Linked DNA regions of Macaca fascicularis. The protein of the gene in region 2 interacts with the protein of the main gene of each other region in a pairwise test. Links are inferred from orthologs where the notes say so. Each region holds a gene or a part of one and is shown on either strand. Other genes may lie near its edges.

Evidence for each region.
Region 1: the proteins of NUDT3 (region 2) and RPLP1 interact in a two-hybrid assay, tested with the Homo sapiens proteins (2 studies listed by BioGRID and IntAct). The link is inferred for Macaca fascicularis from reciprocal best matches to the Homo sapiens genes NUDT3 and RPLP1.

The regions. Positions count from the first base shown.
Region 1 is NC_088381.1:46,244,963-46,255,893, forward strand, and holds RPLP1 (large ribosomal subunit protein P1), read left to right. Parts: upstream 1-4,820; 5' UTR 4,821-4,950; coding exon 4,951-5,022; intron 5,023-5,662; coding exon 5,663-5,737; intron 5,738-6,867; coding exon 6,868-6,985; intron 6,986-7,125; coding exon 7,126-7,205; 3' UTR 7,206-7,244; downstream 7,245-10,931. UniProt on the Homo sapiens protein: Plays an important role in the elongation step of protein synthesis.
Region 2 is NC_088378.1:137,406,349-137,416,406, forward strand, and holds the end of NUDT3 (diphosphoinositol polyphosphate phosphohydrolase 1), read left to right. Parts: intron 1-4,146; coding exon 4,147-4,325; 3' UTR 4,326-6,133; downstream 6,134-10,058. UniProt on the Homo sapiens protein: Cleaves a beta-phosphate from the diphosphate groups in PP-InsP5 (diphosphoinositol pentakisphosphate) and [PP]2-InsP4 (bisdiphosphoinositol tetrakisphosphate), suggesting that it may play a role in signal transduction.

The DNA of each region.
Region 1 (10,931 bases), on a different chromosome or scaffold from region 2:
CCATATGCCAGAAGCAGTCTTCCAGGTCATCTTGTAGAACTCCAACTTTGTTGAAAATCACGGACCTCAGCTACATCATACACTGACCTAGAGCAAAGCTTTCCCTATGGTTCCAAAGACAACTAGTATTCAACAAACCTTGTATAGTATATGTTTTGCCATATTTAATATTAATAGCAGAGGAAGACTCCTTTTTTCATTGCTGTATGAATTTTTTATAATGCTTTGTTAAAATATATTTCATGTATACTTATAAACTAATTCACACAAGTGTTTGTCTTAGATGATTAAGGAAGAATATATCTAGATCATGCCTGATTTTTTTTTGTGACTTTTCCAGCCCTGGTCTGAATTTCTTAAGGTTTTATAAACAAATGCTGCTATTTATTAGCTGCAAGAATGCACTTTAGAACTATTTGACAATTCAAACTTTCAAAATAAAGATGTAAATGACTGGCCAATAATAACCATTTTAGGAAGGTGTTTTGAATTTTGTATGTATATATTCACTTTCTGACATTTAGATATGCCAAAAGGATTAAAATCAAAAGCACTAAGAATTACGTAGCTGTGTGATGGCCGTTCATTCAGCACGTCCTCCCAGCATCTGGCACAGTGGCCTGCATTCACCTGGCACTCATTGTTTGTGGGACAAATTGAAAGATAGCACTAAAAAATACAAGATAATATGTTAAATGGACAATGCCTTTTTTATGTGACAACCATAATTATCTACATATTAAGTATGACTTCTAGACATTTAAACAAAAAACATTGGGGACAACATAAATTAGAAAAAATACTGTCGAAACTATGGTGAAATATCCCATTGCATGGGTGAACACACATTTTTACTTGAATTTAATTTGGATTTGAGGCTGATTTTTTTTTTTTTTTTTTTTTTTGAGGTGGAGTTTCGCTCTTGTTGCCCAGGCTGGAGTGCAATGGCACGATCTTGGCTCACCGCAACCTCTGTCTCCTGGGTCCAGGCAATTCTTCTGCCTTTTGTATTAGTAGATTATTCTGCTAATTCTGTATTTTTAGTAGAGACAGGGTTTCTTCATGTTGGTCAGACTGGTCTCGAACTCCCAATCTCAGCCTCCTGCCTCGGCCTCCCAAAGTGCTGGGATTACAGATGTGAGTCACCATGCCCGACCACTTTTTTTTTTTTTTTTAACTAAAATGATAGTTTAATATTTTGTTATTCATAATAAAAGTGTGGTATTAGTCCTTGCCAAAAGCTGATTCAAAAGTTAAGGGAGAAGATAAAATGCACTAGTCACTCACAGTATAGTAGTAAACAATGTCATATATGTGTTTGTGTGTGTGTGTGTTGAGTTTTTTTTTGGGGGGGAGGGGATGGATTTTTGCTTTTACTGCCCAGGCTGGAGTGCAATGGTGTGATTTCAGCCACCACAACCTCCGCGTCCCAGGTTCAAGCAATTCTGCCTCAGCCTCCCCAGTAGCTGAGATTACAGGCATCTGCCACCAGGCCCAGTTAATTTTGTATTTTTAGTAGAGACAGGGTTTCTCCATGTTGGTCAGGCTGGTCTCAAACTCCCAACCTCAGGTGATAAGCCCTTCTCAGCTTCCCAAACTGCTGGGATTACAGGCGTGAGCCAACACACCTGGCCTATATGTGTGTTTTTAGAATGCTTCAGAACACTAAACGTTAAATTGCTATTTTAGTAGATACAGAATTTATTTTTTGATTTTCTTGTTTTTTAATTTTTTTTCAGAAACAGGGTCTTGCTCTGTTGCACAGGCTGAAATGCAGAAGTGCAATCATGACTCACTATAACCTCAAACTCCTGGACTCAAGTGATCCTTCTGCCTCAGCCCCCCAAGTAGTTGGGACCACAGGTGCTCAGCACCATGCCCAGCTAATTAAAAAATTTTTTATTTTTGTAGAGATGGGGTCTTGCTGTGTTGTCCAGGCTGGCTTTTTTCTTACTTTTTTGAGATGGGATCTCATTCTGTCACCCAGAAGGGAGTGCAATGACATGATCACAGCTCACTGTAGTCTCAGCCTCCCAGGCTCAAGCAATCCTCTCAGCCTCTTGAGTAGCTGCAACTACAGGCAAATGCCGGCACATCTGGCTAATTTTTTATTTTTGTAGAGATGGGGCCTTGCTCTGTGGCCTTGTCTAGTCTCAAACTCCTGACCTCATGCAATCCTCCCAACCTGGCCTCCCAAAGTGCTAGGATTACAGGCATGAGTCACTACCCAGCCTGCTTTTTAAATTATTATTTAACAGAGACAGCCTGGGCATGGTGGCTCACACCTGTAATCCCAGCACTACAGGATGGCTTGAGCTCAGTTCGAGACCAGCCTGAGCAACATGCTGAAATCCCATCCCTACAATTTAAAAATTAGCCATGCATGGCGGCACATACCTGTAGTCCCACCTACAGGGGAGGCTGAGGTGGGAGGATTGCCTGAGCCTGGGAGGCAGAGGTTGCAGTGAGCTGTGATGGCGCCACTGTGCTCCAGCCTGGGCAATGGAATGAGACCCTAGCTCAAAAAAAAAAAAAAAAAAAAAAAACCACAAAGTAATAGGGACTGGGTCTCACTATGTTGCCCCAGGCTGGTCTTGAACTCCTGGGCTCAAGCAATCCTCCCGCCTTGGCCTCCCCAAAGTACTTGAATTGCAGGCATGAGCCACCATGCCCTGTCCCAACCCACTTGAAAAAAAAAAAAAAAAAATTTAGCCAGACGCAGTGGTTCACGCCTGTAATCCCAGCACTTTGGGAAGCCAAGATGGGCGAATCACCTGAGGTTAGGAGTTTGAGACCAGCCTGGCCAACATGGTGAAACCCCATTTCTATTAAAAATACAAAAAATTAGCCAGGCGTGGTGGCACGCGACTGTAATCCAAGCTACTCTGGAGGCTGTGGCAGGAGAATAGCTTGAACCTGGGAGGCAGAGGTTGCAGTGAGCCGAGATCGCGCCATTGCACTCCAGCCTGGGGAACGAGCAAAACTCCGTCTCAGGAAAAAAAAAATTTTAAATGGCTTATTGCATAGTATTTTCAAAATATTAATGGGAAATTTTTACTATGATAGGAGAATATGGGGCAGTGGAATTTGTCTGAAGTAACTGTTGAATGCACTAAGTCCTTCAACAACACAAAAGGAAATGCATGAGTACTGACATTTTGCTTAGCTACTTCTCTTTAATAGCTGTGGTTAGTGCTTACTGTTTGATACCCTGTAAAAGTGCGTATACGTGGAGAAAACGATTATTTCCTCAGTGACCACAAAGTGCCACTTGCCAACCAGATCAGTTTTTTTTTGTTTGTTTGAGACGGAGTTTTGCTCTTGTTGCCCAAGCTGGAATGCAATGGCACGATCTCGGCTCACTGCAACCTCCGCCTCTCGGGTTCAAGCGATTCTCCTGCCTCAGCTTCCCTAGCAGCTGGTATTACAGGCACCCGCCACCACGCCCAGCTATTTTTTTGTTTTTTAAGTAGAGACGAGGTTTCACTATGTTGGCCAGGCTGGTCTCGAACTCCTGACCTCAGGCGATCCACCCGCCTCAGCCTCCCAAACTGCTGGAATTGCAGGCATGAGCCATCGCGCCCGGCAGATCAGTTTTTTAAGTACACTGCTGGAGGTACACAGTATTTTGGACTGACTCATTGTAGCTTTGGAAATGTTTGGATTTTTAAATAGCTTTAAGCTTTCTTGACCAAAATTCCACTATAATGGCTTCTTAGATTTGGATGAAAACTCAGTAGCTTTATTTTTAAAAAGTTTGATAGCTTTATAAAAACTTTTTTAAAAAAATTCGGGATATGAAACTATTTGTTTGTAGTTAAGATTGACCCAAATAGGACTCTAGATTGGTGGATTCCAACAGAAATGTTTCATCAGAGATGATTATTAAATAATGGGATGGACTAAATGAAGGTTCCCGAAAAAAAAAAAATCTTGAACTAACTTTCCAGTAAACTAAGCAAATTCCACGAGCAATGTAAAGGTGACCATTTTTGAAGGTAGGAATTTAAATTGGGTTCAGATAACAAATAACAGGTTGTATACAATTTACCCATAATCCCCCTTCCCCGAAGCACTAGGCGGTGAAGTTAGGCTTCTGGATTCCAACTCCACGCTCCACCGCGCGGAACTATGCAACCTTGGGTTAGTTACCAGGTCTAAGGCTTCTAGATTCCAACTCCACGCTCCACCGCGCGGTAACTACACTATCTTGGGCTAGTTATCGGCTCTAAGACTTAATTTTGCCATCTGCAAGATGGAGATAACATCCAACTCCTGCTGTGTGAGGATTACGTGAATCCTTGTAGAATGTGGCTCAGTTACTGGGATATAGTAAGCGCTCCACGGCTACTGCTATCATAATGCCGTTAGTTTGCTTGTCCTCCTACATCTACCTACATCTATCTATCTCACCCAAGGCCCAGCGCTAAGCAGCGACGTCCATGGTGGGACGCAGCCTTTACCCTCAGGGTCAGCGCCGGCTGGGAAGGCCGCGACCTAACTGGGAGATTACGAACAGTGTCACCACGGCCACAGCGCAGCTCCTGCCAAGTCAAGCAGCTCATGGAACCAACGGCGGCGAAGTCCGAATACCTACGCAACCCTATCCTAAAAGTGTTTTTAACCGTCTCAAGTCCTATAATTTAAGAAAATAAAGTGAGACCGTAACTGTTGGCGCTGAGAAACTTTCTCAACAGGAAGAACGAAGCAGGCGCAGCGCGCAGGCGTCTTCAATCGGTCCTGGGTCCGCCTCTTCCGCCCGGTGCGGGCGCCGATTGGTCCGCGTGGTCACATAAGAGACTGCGCATAGGCGCAAGAACCTCTTTCCTCAGCTGTCGCGAAGGTGCTCGGTCCTTCCGAGAAAGCTAAGGCCGCGTTGGAGTGAGGGCCTCACTTCATCCGGCGACTAGCACCGCGTCCGGCAGCGCCAGCCCCACACTTGCCCGCGCTATGGCCTCCGTCTCCGAGCTCGCCTGCATCTACTCGGCCCTCATTCTGCATGACGATGAGGTGACCGTCACGGTGAGTGCGGGCGCGGGTCGGCGGCCTGGCTGCCTGTGGGCGGCGACTCCCGCCTCTCCATGCGGTTCCGGGCTCCAGGCCGTTGGGCCCAGCACTTCCGGCCGGGGCCAGGCCGCGAAGACAGGCGGCATGGGGCGGGCGCTCCTGGGGGCTGGGGCCTCTCTCGCAGAGCGGGACCTGGGCCCCCGGGACCACGTGCGGGCCCGGGGGGCGTGGAGTGCGCTTGAGGCTGGGCTCTCCGGCTCCAAGATCCTTCGTGTAGAAAAGCTTTTCCGCAGCGCTTGGGCACCCTGACCCGCGCCTCGTCTCTCTCAGGGACACTTACTTGGAACTCTTTTGGTATAATTGCCTTGAATTCCCCGGGTCGTGGAGGATAGCGCCCCAGCTCGGCTCCACCTTCCAGGTCCTAACTTAAAAATAGCCGCGTGACTCAGGCAAGTCCCAGCCCGTGAAACAGCAGTGATGGGCTCGCCTCATTGCAGGGCGCCTGGCACACATCTCTTTTGCTTGTGATAGAATATTTGAGCTGGTTAAACATGTCCTGTACACTTTTTATTGAGTGACTTGCCTTTGACTTGCAGCGTTTTGGAGATACTACATACGCTATGTTTTGATGGATTGACGTTTTTATTTGTTGTAGGAGGATAAGATCAATGCCCTCATTAAAGCAGCCGGTGTAAATGTTGAACCTTTTTGGCCTGGCTTGTTTGCAAAGGTAAGGTGATGGTGGCAAAGTGATGTGGTAAAGCCTGCTGATTTACGAGGGCAGGTGTACATGCTGAAGTACCTCCAGCAGTGCCATAAGGCCCCACATGCCGCTGGATCTCCTAGGTGTATTTGGTTGCATTTATATCTCTAGGAGCTAAGAAGATTTCAGTTTCTCAAGTCTTATGTTTCCTTATCAGACTCTGGTTTCCCCTTTTGCTCTGAAACCATGGTCAAAAAAAAAAAAAATCTGAATCAGGTCATTGATTCCCAAAAAGGATCACCCGGGAGATAGGTACTACCCATGTTAAAGTTGCAAGCAAATTCTTGCATTAAACCTGTGGTTTAATGGACATTTGGGTTTAGCGGACTTTATTGACACAGTAGGTACTATGTGTTGGGATATAAAAGACTAATAAAGACGAGATTCCTGGTCATGGAGCTTGCACTGGCTATTTTCCATTGTACAGGTTACTTAATCTCTGGCAAGTTAAGCTGATAGCATCTAACTCCGGGGTTGTGTCCTCTAAAGAGTTTTGAAAGATTGTAAACATTGTATCTATGTCATCTTTAAGTCCTATGTTTAGAAGACTGAAAATTTGAGTTCACTGTTCAGAGGAGACATGGAATTGTGCAAAGAATATTCATTTGAGTGTTTCAGGAAGTTTGGATTATTTTTTTGCCAACATGTTATTTGTAAAAGGAGGGGAAATCAGCTACCTCAGGAGGTTCTTAACATATAGGAAAGTAATTATCAGATTCAAAGCTGAACGATTGAAAGCTGAACAGTAGTGTGTTGCCCTGTCTAACCTAAGTTTTTGCTGTTAGCAAAGAAAAGCCAGTGTCTAGGGTATTGATTCCAGGGCCTTCCACTAATAACAAAATCCCAGGATGTTCCATCTCTTATATAAATGTATTTGCATATAACCTATGCACATCCTCCTGTATACTTTGGAAGTCTACATGTTTGGTATGCATGCGTTTCCACTGTTGAAACCATGGATGTGGAACCCACTGTATATAGTGTTAGGGGTTGATCACTGTAACCTGGAAGGGGGGATACTTTTCGTTTTTGGTGCGTGAGTGCTGTGTAACAAGGACAGAACCGGGCATTTACCTATGCATGCACATGTATTGCAGGCCCTGGCCAATGTCAACATTGGGAGCCTCATCTGCAATGTAGGGGCTGGTGGACCTGCTCCAGCAGCTGGTGCTGCACCAGCAGGAGGTCCTGCCCCCTCCACTGCTGCTGCTCCAGGTAGGAAACATGGAGTTTCTAGTATTGGGAGGAGTGTAGAGATTTAAAAAATATATATAGTATTATAGGTAAAATTGCCATTAATTTTCCACAAGCAGATGATGTATGGAAATCCTAACACCTGACTGTTTTTTTTCTAGCTGAGGAGAAGAAAGTGGAAGCAAAGAAAGAAGAATCGGAGGAATCTGATGATGACATGGGCTTTGGTCTTTTTGACTAAATCTCTTTTATAACGTGTTCAATAAAAAGCTGAACTTTACTGCTGTTGGTCTTGCCCATAGCTTGGGAATGCGCTCTGCAAAAATGGTATCAGTTTTGTAATGTTGGCTTTCAACCTATTCTGCCATGACAGGCTGGATTTTCCCTGCCACCGTTGCCAGATGTGAGATTATACACAATCCTGATGCTAACAAGAAGGCACCTCATGGTACAGTGTTAAAAACTGCACTGGGGTGTCAGGAGGAAAGATCAGAGCAGATGCTTGCTTTGTCCAGGTTACCTGTATAAACTTGAGGATTATAAGGTGTGTCCCCTCCACTGGGGGCAGAGGGTAATACAGACCAGCATTAGAAAGCCTCCTGGGTAATTACCCTATACAACCCTGCCTAATAATGAACTTTGACCTATGCTGAATTGACTGCTACATCCCAAGGTTGTAAAGAAACTAAGACCTAGCTGTGTAATGTCTCACCAAATGCTTGGGTAACACTGAAGGAATGCAGAAAGTTTACTTCATAGTTTATTAAGGTCCCCAGTTACACAAAGTGGATAAAACAAGATTCAAACCTGGGTTCCAAAAGCTAAGAGCTTTTTTTGTTTGCCAATTAATAATACCATGAGGCCGGGCGCGGTGGCTCAAGCCTGTAATCCCAGCACTTTGGGAGGCCGAGACGGGCGGATCACAAGGTCAGGAGATCGAGACCATCCTGGCTAACACAGTGAAACCCCACGTCTCTACTAAAAAATACAAAAAACTAGCCGGGCACTCCAGCCTGGGTGACAGAGCGAGACTCCGTCTCAAAAAAAAAAAAAAAAAAAATACCATGAATGGAAATTTCGACTTTTCAGGCTTGGATTATATAATAAACCATGGGTATTGTGTATTCAGAGCAGCTAATGACATGCCAGGCACATGAATGAGTCTTATCCTTATCTGCATTAGCATTTAATAGATGAAGACATTCAGTGATGAAAAGCATGACTTCTAGCCGGGGCTGTCATGTCAATGTGAAAAAGACCATTTGTATAAGTTACTGCAACTACTTGGGGAAAATGGCAGTTCTACTTCAAGAGAAACTACATGTGGACATGAGGATACATGCCTGGGAATGTTCAAAGCAACACTTTGAGCAAAGACATTAAGTATATGCATCTGATAAGAGAAATATAAAAGATGGGATGGTGAACAATTTAGGATCTTGAGTAAGGTGCAGTTAACAATGGGTAGGAGTATGTAGGTGTCAGTATTAAAGAGTTTTAAGTTTTTTGAGAGGGGTTCTAGGCTGGAATGCATTGGTGCAGTCATGGCTTACTGCAGCTTCAAACTCCCAGGCTCAAATCAATCATCCCACTTCAGCCACCCCCAGGTGGCTGGGACTACAGGCATGCCACCATGCCTGGCTAATTTTTTGTAGACAAACCTCAACCTCCTGGTGTCAAGCGATCTGCACGCCTTGACCTCCCAAAGTGCTGGGATTGCAAGTATGAGCCATCATGCCTGGCTAGTTTTGTGTTTTTAATATATGGCTTGAGCATCCCTTACCCAAAAAACAAAACATCAACATGACACTCAAAGGAAATGTTCATTGGAACGTTTTGGATTTTCGGGTTAGGAATGCCCAACCTGTATATTAAAACCATAGGCCAGGCATGGTGGTTCATGCCTGTGATTCCTGCACTTTGGGAGGCTGACGCAGGAGGATCACTTAAATCCATGCCCGCCTCTAGAAGAAATTTTTTAAAAAATCAGTGCAGCGCGGTGGTATTCGCCTGTGGCTTCAGTAAGCCATGTTTGTACCATTATACTCGAGACTGGGTGACAGGGCGGGACCCTGTCTAAAATATCTAAGATCATAAAGTATATATAAAAACCTTAGGTATATGCAAATATTCCAAAGTCTGAAAAAAAATTAGAAATCTGAAACAAATGGTCCCAAGCATTTTGGATAAGGGATGCTCAGCCTGTACTAAAGGGCAGTTGTGAACTAGTGAGGATGGTGTCACGAGACAAAGATAAGTGATAGCCTATATCCACATGTTAAGTGCCTGCTTTTCCTTCACCCATTAACAGCTAACATTAGCTAGGACTGCTCGTCTGTGTGGCATCTCATTCTTCACAACAGTCCCATGACAGGATGACCCCATGTTGGGGATGGGGAAGTGGAAGCTCTCAGGTTACAAACTAGTAAGTGGGTGGGTGAACTAGATTAAAACCCCACTCTGAGTCCCTGTTCTCTTAACATCATGACCCATGCTTCTGGTCGTGTCTCCTACCTGCATCAGCTTCCTCATCTGTAATGACTGTAGGGTTCTGAAGAGGTAACAGTAGGAATTCTTTGTGCTGAGTGAACAAGTGTCAGAGGAAGGAATACTAACACTTCACCAAGCTGAAGAATGGGTTAAAGAGAATACTAACAAGATATGGGAAAAGGACAGCATCTAGAAGAGCAGACATTAAGTGGTAAGCTAGGGATATTGTAAATATCAAACTCAGCTGTCCAAACAATCCAATCAACTAAAATGTTCACTAGCAAGACTCCAATGTTAACAGTCTGTAAGTGCATGGCCCAGGCTTCTCCCCCCACTCAGACTGCATTCTCTCCCTCTCCCTTGGAGGAAGAGAAGAACCATCATCAATGGCAAATGACAGTTGCAGCAAAGCAACACCAAGAGCCAACCTCACGCTCAGCAGAGAATGCTGTCCTGCCACCTCCTCATGGTTTCCAGTGCTGTACACATTGAGAGAAACTTCTCTAGTAAGGAACTACAGAATTGATGCCTGAAATTATACTCTTGGTCTAGCTTTTTTTTTCTTTTTTTTTTTTTTCTCAATTTATTTGAGACAGGGTCTCACTGTTGCCCAGGCTGGAGTGCAGTGGCATGGTCATAGCTCACTGCAGCCTTTCTTGGGCTAAGTGATCCTCCCGCCTCAGCCTCCTGAGTGGCTGGGACTGTAGGCATGAGCCACCCTGCCTGGCATGGCCCAGCTTTTTAAGAAATCTTAATATAGCTAAAAATCTTTCTAAAGAACAATTTGAAAATCAAATTAGAAGACCCACATACATACATAGAACTACTAACTTAATTCATCCGATACTGAATGAAGTCCTCTTTGTTCCATCTGCTTTCTGGTTCTTCCGAGCCTCCTTTTTTCTTTTTCTTTTCAGAAATGGGAATATCTACTTCATATTGGGGAATGAAAGAGGTAAGTGAACATTCAATACTTGTTACTTCCCTTTTGCATACAGTACAAGGAACACGGTTGCCATCCCTAGTTCCCCAAATCTCCAGGTCTAATAGGTCCAAGCCTCATGCTCCTCAAACCGCCTACCCCCCATTCTGTTTGTTTGTTTTTTGTTTTGTTTTGTTTTGTTTGAGACAGAGTCTCACTCTGTTTTCCAGGCCTGAGTGCAGTGGCACGATCTCGGCTCACTGCAGCCTCCGCCTCCAAGCGATATTCCTGCCTCAGCTTCCTGAGTAGCTGGGATTATAGGCACGCACCACCACACCTGACTAATTTTTGTATTTTCAGTAGAGACAGGGTTTCACCATATCGGTCAGGCTGGTCTCGAACTCCTGACCTCATGATCCGCCCGCCTCAGCCTCCCAAAGTGCTAGGATTACAAGGGTGAGCCGCTGCACCCGGCCCCCCATTCTTATCAATCAGGCAGGTTTGGTTTCTCATATTTCATACTTCTGATTGTTCACCAAGCATACATGTTACTTT
Region 2 (10,058 bases):
CCTCCGCCTCCCAGGTTCAAGCGATTCTCCTGCCTCAGCCTCCCTAGTAGCTGGGATTATAGGCATGTGCCACCACACCCAGCCAATTTTGTATTTTTAGTGGAGACGGGGTTTCTCCGTGTTGGTCAGGCTGGTCTCGAACTCCCAACCTCAGGTGATCCACCCTCCTCCGCCTCCCAAAGTGCTGGGATTACAGGCGTGAGCCGCCGCGCCCGGCTTATGAACTTTTATAAAAGGGTGCTGAGTGCACTCTTTAGGTACACCCAGCTTTCTCCCAAAGGAGTCATTTTCTTTTATCTCAGATGGCCATTATGTTTACATCTTTTGAACTATAAACTGTGGTGGTGCAAAGGTTGGTTCACGGTTTGATTATTTACCTCTGAAGGAAAGTATATTCTAGAAAGTAGAACACTAATTTCCGTTACAAATTGGCAGACAGATAAAATTTACTTGCCAACATTCTCCCTTTAATGTTAGTGTTTTCCTTGCTGCCATGCCCCTCACATTGTTACTCTGGGCAGTTCGTAGCCCTTTGGCTCTTGATGGCTTTGTATCTAGTAATAATGCAGGGTGCTCAAGGAAATAAATTCATTGTGGATATGCTGAAAACAGACTCCCTGACAGCTGTGCTAGCGCCAGAAAAGGACACAGCAATGGATGTGTGGTGTGGCCCTATCCTCAGAGCACTCTGTCAGGCAGGAGTCACACACTTGGGATACTCATTTTTTTAGGTACCGTTGCTCTATTAATATTCAAACAAACCTTTCACCTTGTACTCCCACTTCTGATAATTGACCCTAATGAAATAATCTAAAATATGACAAGCCTATGGAGCCTTCCTTCAGATGATCTTACTACCATTTTTCTTACCGGTTAAAAATTGCATCTTAAATGTATAACTCAGTGAATGACAAATCAATGAATGACATGTGTCTGATGGAATGTTATACAGCTGTTAAACACCATAGTTTAACACCACCTGGTGCAGTGGCTCACGCTTGTAATCCCAGCACTTTGGAAGGCTGAGAAAGGCAAATCACTTGAGGTCAGGAGTTCGAGACCAGCCTGGCCAATGTGGTGAAACCCCGTCTCTACTGAAAATGCAAAAATTAGCCAGGCGTGGTGGCACACACCTGTAATTTCAGCTACTCAGGAAGCTGAGGCAGGAGAATCGCTTGAACCCGGGAGGTGGGGGTTGCAGTGAGCCAAGAGTATGCCAATGCACTCCAGCTCGGGCAACAGATAAAGACTGTCTCAAAAAAAAAAAAAAAAAAAAAAAAGTCAATGTTAAAGAAAAGCTAATATTGGCGGGGATGTAGTGAGACTGACATCCTGACAGACACAAGCAGGACTCGGGATCAGTGTCGCCTTTCTGTAAAGCACTTTTGCAGTATAAATCAGGAGCCCTTGAAAGTTCAAAAGCTCTATTTTTGTAGTCCTTGTGCTAGATATCTTTCCCTAGATGGTTAAAAAGAAAAAAAATGGGGAACATTTTTTAAAAACAGGATTATTTATAATAATTAAAATCACTGGGCAGGGTGGCTCATGCCTGTAATCCCAGCACTTTGGAAGGCTGAGGCAGGCAAATCACTTAAGGTCAGGAGTTTGAGACCAGCCTGGCCAACATACTGAAACCCCATCTCTACTAAAAATACAAAAATTAGCTGGTCGTGGTTGTGTACACCTGTAGTCCCAGCTACTTGGGGACTGAGGCAGGAGAATTGCTTGAACCTGGGAGGCAGAGATTGCAATGAGCTAATGCCACTGCACTCCAGCCTGCATGACAGAGTGAGACTCCGTCTCAATAAATAAACAAACAAAAATTAGCTGGGCATGGTTGTGGGTGCCTGTAATCCCAGCCACTTGGGAGGCTGAGGCATGAGAATCGCTTGAGCCTGGGAGGCAGAGGTTGCAGTGAGCCAGGATCACATTGCTGCACTCCAGCCTGGGTGACAGACTGAGACTCTGTCTCAAAAATAATAATAATCACAGACAATTGATGTCCAGTGATGTGGAAATGGTTAAATGAATGATAGTACATCCATTCTAGATATTAAGATATAACGCAGCCATAAATGTCTGACCAAAAAAAGACAGGGTCTCACTCTGTTGTCCAGACTGGAGTACAGTGGATCACAGCCCACTGCAGCCTCAAACTCCTGGACTCAAGCAGTCCTGCCTTAACCTTCCTAGCAAGGCAATGTCATATTTTTTTCATAACATAGATTGCTTAAGAAACAGTGTGACGTAGGATAGGCGTGGTGGCTCATGCCTGTAATTCCAAGTACTTTGGGAGGCTAAGGCAGGAGGATCACTTGAGGCCAGGAATTTGAGACCTCATTTACACCAAAAAAAAAAAAAGAAGAAGAAGCAGGTGTGGCGTGTGCCTGTAGTCCTAGCTACTTGGAAGGCTAGGGCAGGAAGATTCCTCGTGTCTGGGAGCTTGAGTTTGCAGTGAACTATGATCATACCACTGCAATCCAGCCTGAGATCCTATCTCTGGGGAAAAAAAAAGAAAAAAGAAAAGAAAAAAGAATGTGAAGAAAAAAAGAACCAGTAACAAAAATTAAAAAGCAAATTCAGTAGTACATACTTTTAGCAGCCAGGTACTCTTCAGGTGCTTTGCATACTAATCGTCACAACAAACTTGTGAGATAGGCCCTATTTATTGTCTGTTTTATAGATGAGGAAAATGGAGCAGGAGCACAGCTATCTGAGGCTGCACAGCTCATTGGAGCCATTTATGTGATTGGAACCCAGCACTTTGGCTTCAGAGTCCTTGTTCCTGACCATAACACTCTAGCAGAGCTGGTCAGGATTCGGAGCACCTGAAAGCATGATCCAATTTTAGTTATCTCAAGATTGTTTCTTTTTCAAGTATATGCAAAAAAGGCAATTGTGCTAGGGTATTGAGAGTGGTCTTCTCTGGTTTACAAAATTATGGGTACCTATTACTTTTATAAGAGAAAAAATATAAAGGATTTTAAAGCGTGGACTAGAAAAGAGTAAGAAAGTAAACTGAAAAATAAAAGTGTGATTGTATTGAGATTGTTTTTTCTTATTTTAAAAAATATTTTCTGGCTGGGGGTGGTGGCTCACGCCTATAATCCCAGCACTTTGGGAGGCCGAGGTGGACAAATCACGAGGTCAGGAGATCGAGACCATCCTGGCTAACATGGTGAAACCCCATTTCTACTAAAAATACAAAAAATTAGCCAGGAGTGGTGACGAGCGCCTGCAGTCCCAGCTACTCGGGAGGCTGAGGCAGGAGAATGACATGAACCCGGGAGGCCACTGCACTCCAGCCTGGGCGACAGAGCAGGACTCTGTCTCTCTCTCTCTCTCTCTCTCTCTCTCTCTATATATATATATATGTAAAAATTTTTTTTCTATTATGTCAGTACATTCACTCTTAAAAGAAAACTTTTAAATAAATTAGTGATTACAAACCAGCCATCCTAGTAATTCTGGAAGCTGATGTTTGTGTTGATTTTCTTTTTTCCCCTGCTTGGATCAGGGTGTCACTCTGTCACCCTGCCGGAGTGCAGTGGCGCAATCACAGCTCACTGCAGCCTCAACTTCCCGGGCTAGGGTGATCCTCCCACCTCAGCCTCCTGGGTAGCTGGAACTACAGGCTTGTGCCACCATGCCCAGCTAATTTTTGTATTTTTTGTAGAGACGAGTTTGCCATGTTGCTCAGGCTGGTCTCAAACTCCTGGGCTCAAGCGATCTGCCCACCTTAGCCTCCCAAAGTGCTGGGATTATAGGCATGAGCCACCTCGTCAGGCCCTCATGTCAGTTTTTTACAAGAGATGGGGATGCTGCTGGGCTTTGATCCCTATGTATGTGCAAGCAAGGAAAGCTCAGAGACCCAGGAGGGCAGGAGGAAAACACTAGCCATAGTTCTCTCTGGAGGGCAGGTTTTACACAATTACTCTTAGCTCTTCAGTTTTCAGGTTTCTCGCCTATTTTCTACATTAGACATTTGTATAATATTTGAAGCATACGAAGTGCGCTTGAGTTACTTTTGTAAGGAAAAAAAGTATTAAGAAACATTGCTTTAACGTTTTCTACATTTTCTCAAAAGTTCTAGGCTCAGAAACCTTATTGCTCTTGTACTAGTTTCTTTTCTCTCTGCCTCCACAGGAAGGAAGAGGGAATGGTTTAAAATAGAAGATGCCATAAAAGTGCTGCAGTATCACAAACCCGTGCAGGCATCATATTTTGAAACATTGAGGCAAGGCTACTCAGCCAACAATGGCACCCCAGTCGTGGCCACCACATACTCGGTTTCTGCTCAGAGCTCGATGTCAGGCATCAGATGACTGAAGACTTCCTGTAAGAGAAATGGAAATTGGAAACTAGACTGAAATGCAAATCTTCCCTCTCACCCTGGCTCTTTCCACTTCTCCTCACAGGCCTCTTCTTTCAAATAAGGCATGGTGGGCAGCAAAGAAAGGGTGTATTGATAATGTTGCTGTTTGGTGTTAACTGATGGGGCTTTTTCTTCTCTTTTTATTGTGGGGTGGGGGTTGGGTGTGTAATTTGTAAGTACTTTTGTGCATGATCTGTCCCTCCCTCTTCCTACCCCTGCAGTCCTCTGAAGAGAGGCCAACAGCCTTCCCCTGCCTTGGATTCTGAAGTGTTCCTGTTTGTCTTATCCTAGCCCTGGCCAGACGTTTTCTTTGATTTTTAATTTTTTTTTATTAAAAGATACCAGTATAAGATGAAATCTTTCAAGAATTTGTCCTATAATATGCTGTACAGTTCAGTAGAGTGGTCACTTCCACTGCAGGATACATTTATCTACACATTATATATCGGACATATAATATGTAAATAAATGACTTGTAGAAAGAGAAATTTGTTTAATTTTTCAAGATTTTTTTCTCTTTTAATTTGGGCATTTCTGGAATTGAGAGCCTCACAATTAATATACCTTTTCGTTTTTGATGCTAGTGGCTGGGCAGGTTGCCCTGTCCTCTCTCTATTTCCCAGTCGTTGACTGTAGGTATGGGAAGTGTTTAGCTACCTTCATAGTGCTCCCAGGACTCATGGCCTTTCCTTCTTTAAGCTGTATTTCCATACCAAGAAAGAAACAGGAAGAAACCTTTATTTTATTATTATTTTTTTAACCAAGCTAGGAACAAATGTCTCAGCCCAGATCTGTAAAAACAATGATAGAAATTGAATTCTGCCCCACATGTTGACAGTAGGGTTTGAACTGGATTCTTGGGATTGCTTATCTAAAAAACTGGAGCATCAGGTACCATTTCTGTCCTGCTGGTTTGGAATCTTTTCCGTAATGCTACTTATTACCGACAACGACCTCTCTTTGTGTCCGTATATGCCTTACACCGTGCTGACCTGGATATTGTCCTTGTGCTCTGAAGCATCCAACTGTACTTTGCAGGTGCATCAATGTAGTCCCATCCCCGAACTGGGTAACCGTGTTCCTGAAAAGTACACTGGGGAAATTCACCTGCTTGCTTGTCTTTGTAATGGCACGACACTTGTGATTGCACCATGAAGCATGCTCAGAGCTATTAAACTGGTCTCCCATCTCCCACCAGGATATGAAAGGTCCATATGGGAAGCCACATAATCACTTATTACAGTGGTTACATAATACACTGGCTCACTGCAGAGTTTTGTTGTTTTTTGATACAGGTTTCGTGCTGGCTTCATTTGCCAATTGTGTTGTTTAGTTCGGAAGTAAGAGGGTCTTGAGATTGAGGGATAGGGAGGAGTACACTGACTGATCCCTGGCTTAGAACAAGAGATTATCTCTGTACCCCAGTGTCATCTCCTTAGCCAAGATGTGAAATTAAAATCGTAGTTCTCCTTATTTAAAAATTCTAATAAAGCACTCAAACTTTGAAAAACTTTTACTTTTCCCTCCTACTAAAAGAAATGTATGTACCTCATAGGCCTGTGTCATTTAGTGTTCAGCACTTTTGGGAACATCAGTTGGTGAACTTTAAATTTTGTTGTCTACTCACCAGGCATGGTGGCTCACACCTGTAATCCCAGCACTTTGGGAGGCCAAGGCAGGCGGATCATCTGAGGTCAGAGGTTTGAGACCAGCCTGGCCAACATAGTGAAACCCCTGTCTCTACTAAAAATATAAAAATTAACTGGGCGTGGTGGGCGCCTATAATCCTAGCTACTTGTGAGACTGAGGCGAGATAATCGCTTGAACCCGGGAGGCAGAGGTTGCAGTGAGCCGAGATTGCACCACTGTCGTCCTGCCTGGGCAACAAGAGTGAAACTCCATCTCAAAAAAGAAAAAAAAATTGCTGTGTACTCTTAGTTTACATTCTCTCTCCCAATCTTGAAACACAGAGCCAAAGAGCAGTTGTATTCTTGGGATACCATGATACCTCTGGGAAAGGAATTATATCCCCAAGGAGAGGTCCCATTGGAGAAGAACACCACTGTGGAACTTGAGTCTGAATGCCAACTTCCTATTCACATATCCTTCTTAAAAACGAACACACTGTTTCTTATCCTGACCTAGAGCATTCTAAAGTTCTGTTCAAATAAAGAGCAAAATAAAGTAGATTTAACCAAGTGCTAAGTGGAATTCAAGAAACACATTCTTCCAGATAAATACTACCTTTATGGTATGGATTTGAAAGTCCTTTGCAGGAAAACAGTCAATACTCTTTAAAAAAAGGAACTGCAGGGCCGGGCATAGTGGTTCACACCTGTAATCCCAGCACTTTGGGAGGCCAAGGCAGGTGGGTCGCTTGAGGACAGGAGTTTGAGACCAGCCTGGCCAACATGGCAAAACCCTGTCTCTACTCAAATACAAAAATTAGCTGGACGTGATGGTGCACGCCTGTAATCCCAGCTACTTGGGAGGCTGAGGCATGAGAATCACTTAAACCTTCCTGGGAGGCGGAGGTTGCAGTGAGTCAAGATCACGCCACTGCACTCCAGCCTAGGTGACAGATCGAGACTCTGTGTCAATAAATAAATTAGAAAATAAAACAGACCTGCAGTGCTAACAGTAATGTATACATTTGTTAATGGTCTGAGTGTGTTTTGACTGGGCTAGTGTAATAATATACTACCCTGAAAGGGCAGTTTTGATTGTTGTTGGTGTCTTTGGGTCAGGAAAGTGAACTGTGCCAACAAGTATTTTTCAGTGACATGAATGGATTCCTGTTAATGCAATTAACTGAGACACTGTGCTTATGCTTTCTTAACTGACAAAAAGAGGCTTTGTCCAACATCAGAATTGTTGAAACTGGTGCTGTTTTCTGTTGCATTGGGATTCTGATGATCGGGGATTTTCCCTCCCTGGCACTGTAAACACCATGGCCGTCTTTACTGAGAATATCATCACAGTCCTTTAGTGATACATTAGTTAGACCCATGGTTGCAATACCTTTATCTCCCCAAAGAAAAGAATCAAAAGAAAGCACAAAAACTACCCTGTTTGCAGAATATTTCATTGATATTGATTTGTCATTAATTCTACCAGTGCTGACCTCATTCAGACTTGGTAGAAACAGATTCCTATGTTTAGGGCAGATCCCTAGCCTCTTGCTCACAGTGAATTTGCATGTCCTAGATTCTGGTTATTGCTAGAGCATCCATTAAAGTCTACCAAACTCAGGACAGAAAAAGATAGCAGTGGATTTTAAAAAATTTTTAGTTTATAAATTACAATCATTGGGGAAACACTAGTAAGGTCATGTGGTCTTTTGGACCAGGATTTTCTCCTCTCTTCTGTCTCTCTCTGTGTGTATATATATATGTGTATGTGTGTGTGTGTGTGTGTGTATGTGTGTGTGTGTGTGTGTGTGTGTGTAGGAGGACAGAAGGGCTACCAGGAGGTGTCAACCATGTTAGATTTTCTGTAGCCTTCCAGAAACAGTGCAGCCCATGAAACAGGAATCTTAATTTTCCTCATTGCAAATATAACAGGATGGAACAGTTAGTGAATTGACTGTTTTGTTTTTGCAAGTGTCCACCACTCCATCCGCCCTGCATGGAGAGGGCTCTCTCACTGCTAGGTCTAGGCTGAGCCATCTGGAAGGATCAAAGGGTGTGGGAGTATCACTGCCTCTCAGGCTGCAGAAGGTCTCGAGGGTGGTGTCACAGCAGGATTTCCGCCTTCTGCATTGCGCTGCACAGCCCCATGGAACGTGAGGCACTTGAGGCCTTGCTTCTTGCAGCCTCTGGGGAGCAGAGTAGGTCACTGCCCTCTGGGAGTGTTTTGCAGTAGTTTTGTAAATGTGTTGCTACATAGTCAAGTTCCTTTGTGGCAAAGAAATATTTTGTTTTGATATTAGGAGCCAGCCCATGTATTGTCTCTTAGGCTTGCTTGCTTAGAAGAAAAAAGTCACCCTCTGTGGTTTTTAAAAGAAGAAAAAAATTCTGTGCCAATCCGTTCCTCCCCCTGCTCCTTCCCTTTTCTCTACATACAGTGCTCATTGGGGGCTCCTGCTAAACCTTCTTAACCAGAGAAGTAATAGGTACTTGTTAGACCTGAGTGTACGTTTCACATGTTATCCTTCACCTATTTCTCATTTCATCTAGTACTTTCTTAATGCCTTTGTTGGAGTCCCCATCCTCATCTTTAAAAAAAAAACAAAACAAAACAGCTGAGCCTAAGCCACATGCACATTTTTTAGTTCACAAAAAAGGATTTAATAGCCACATTGTGATTTTTGCCACAACTGTGTGATTTTAATATTCTCTAATATCAAGGGTGGATTTAGAATTAAAGGAAATACCTGGAGAAATCACAGTGGGATGAATTTTTGCTTTAAGAGAAATGAGAGTTGGCTGTAATTGATAATACAGCTTTATCCTAGTCTCATCTGCATTTCAGAAAATAACCCTCATCTTTACAAAACATAGGACACTTGTGAGACAGTTAACTCAAGCAGCTATGGGGAGGGAGGACATTATTGAACGGTGATTAAATAATGCAGATGGCCCTTCTGTTTCTTAAAGACGGTGGAAGAGGTCAGACTGCCCAGTTGAGGCGGCAGGCATTTATTCGGAGTCCTGTTGGATAGAGCCTGTCTCCTCGAGGCTGCAGAGGCTTCCAGGATGTGGAGCTGTGCATGTTAGTGACTCAGCCTTGCCTTCATCAGGGCACCCACCTAACTTGGAGCAAGTGGGAGAGGACCCCAGAGTCATCCTCTGTGCTGTTTGGTGAGTTTTGCAGCGGAGACTTCACCATCCAGGAGAGCTGTGTTTCTGTGTCACTTGGAATATCACCTAAAAATGAAACACTTGATATTTTAAGGTATTAAAACAAAAAAAAGTGAATTGGGGAGCATTGGCTGCAATCCCTAAAAGATACTGTTATCTGTGCATCAGGTTGACTTGAGATCACCACAGGTCCTGGGAGCCCAGAGAGTTTAGGCATGCTGTCCTTTGGAGGCCAGCAGCCTTTCACAAACCCTGCCTCTAAAAGGGTGGTTTCACATTGGACCATGTTTTTGCATTAGCCTCAGAAACTCTTGTCTTTAGCTGATAACCTTTGAGGGATGTGAGAAGCCTAGTTGGAGCATCTGAGAAAATGATACCTCTCACCTTCAAATTAATCAAATAGTTTGTCCTCCTAGTCCCCTTATAAATTAATAAATGGAGGACCAGGCACGGTGGTTCACGCCTGTAATCCCAGCACTTTGGGAGGCCAAGGCGGGTGGATCACGAGGTCAGGAGTTCAAGACCAGCCTGACCAGTATGGTGAAACCCCGTCTCTACTAAAAATAGCAAAATTAGCCAGGCGTGGTGACACACTCCTATAGTCCCAGCTACTCGGGAGGCTGAGGCAGGAGAATCGCTTGAACCTGGGAGGCAGATGTTGCAGTGAGCCGAGATCCCGCCACTGCACTCCAGCCTAGGCGACAGAGCAAGACTCTGTCTCAAAAAAAAAAAAAAAAAATTAATAGGAAGAGAATCCCATTTTGTGATGATTTGGGCACACTACTTGAGCTGAGGCTAGCAATCATGTGATTTTGGCTGTCTCTGACCTGAAGCTTTTGAAGTAAGAGTTATGTCTCTTCCCTGAAGCTTTGTTTACGGTG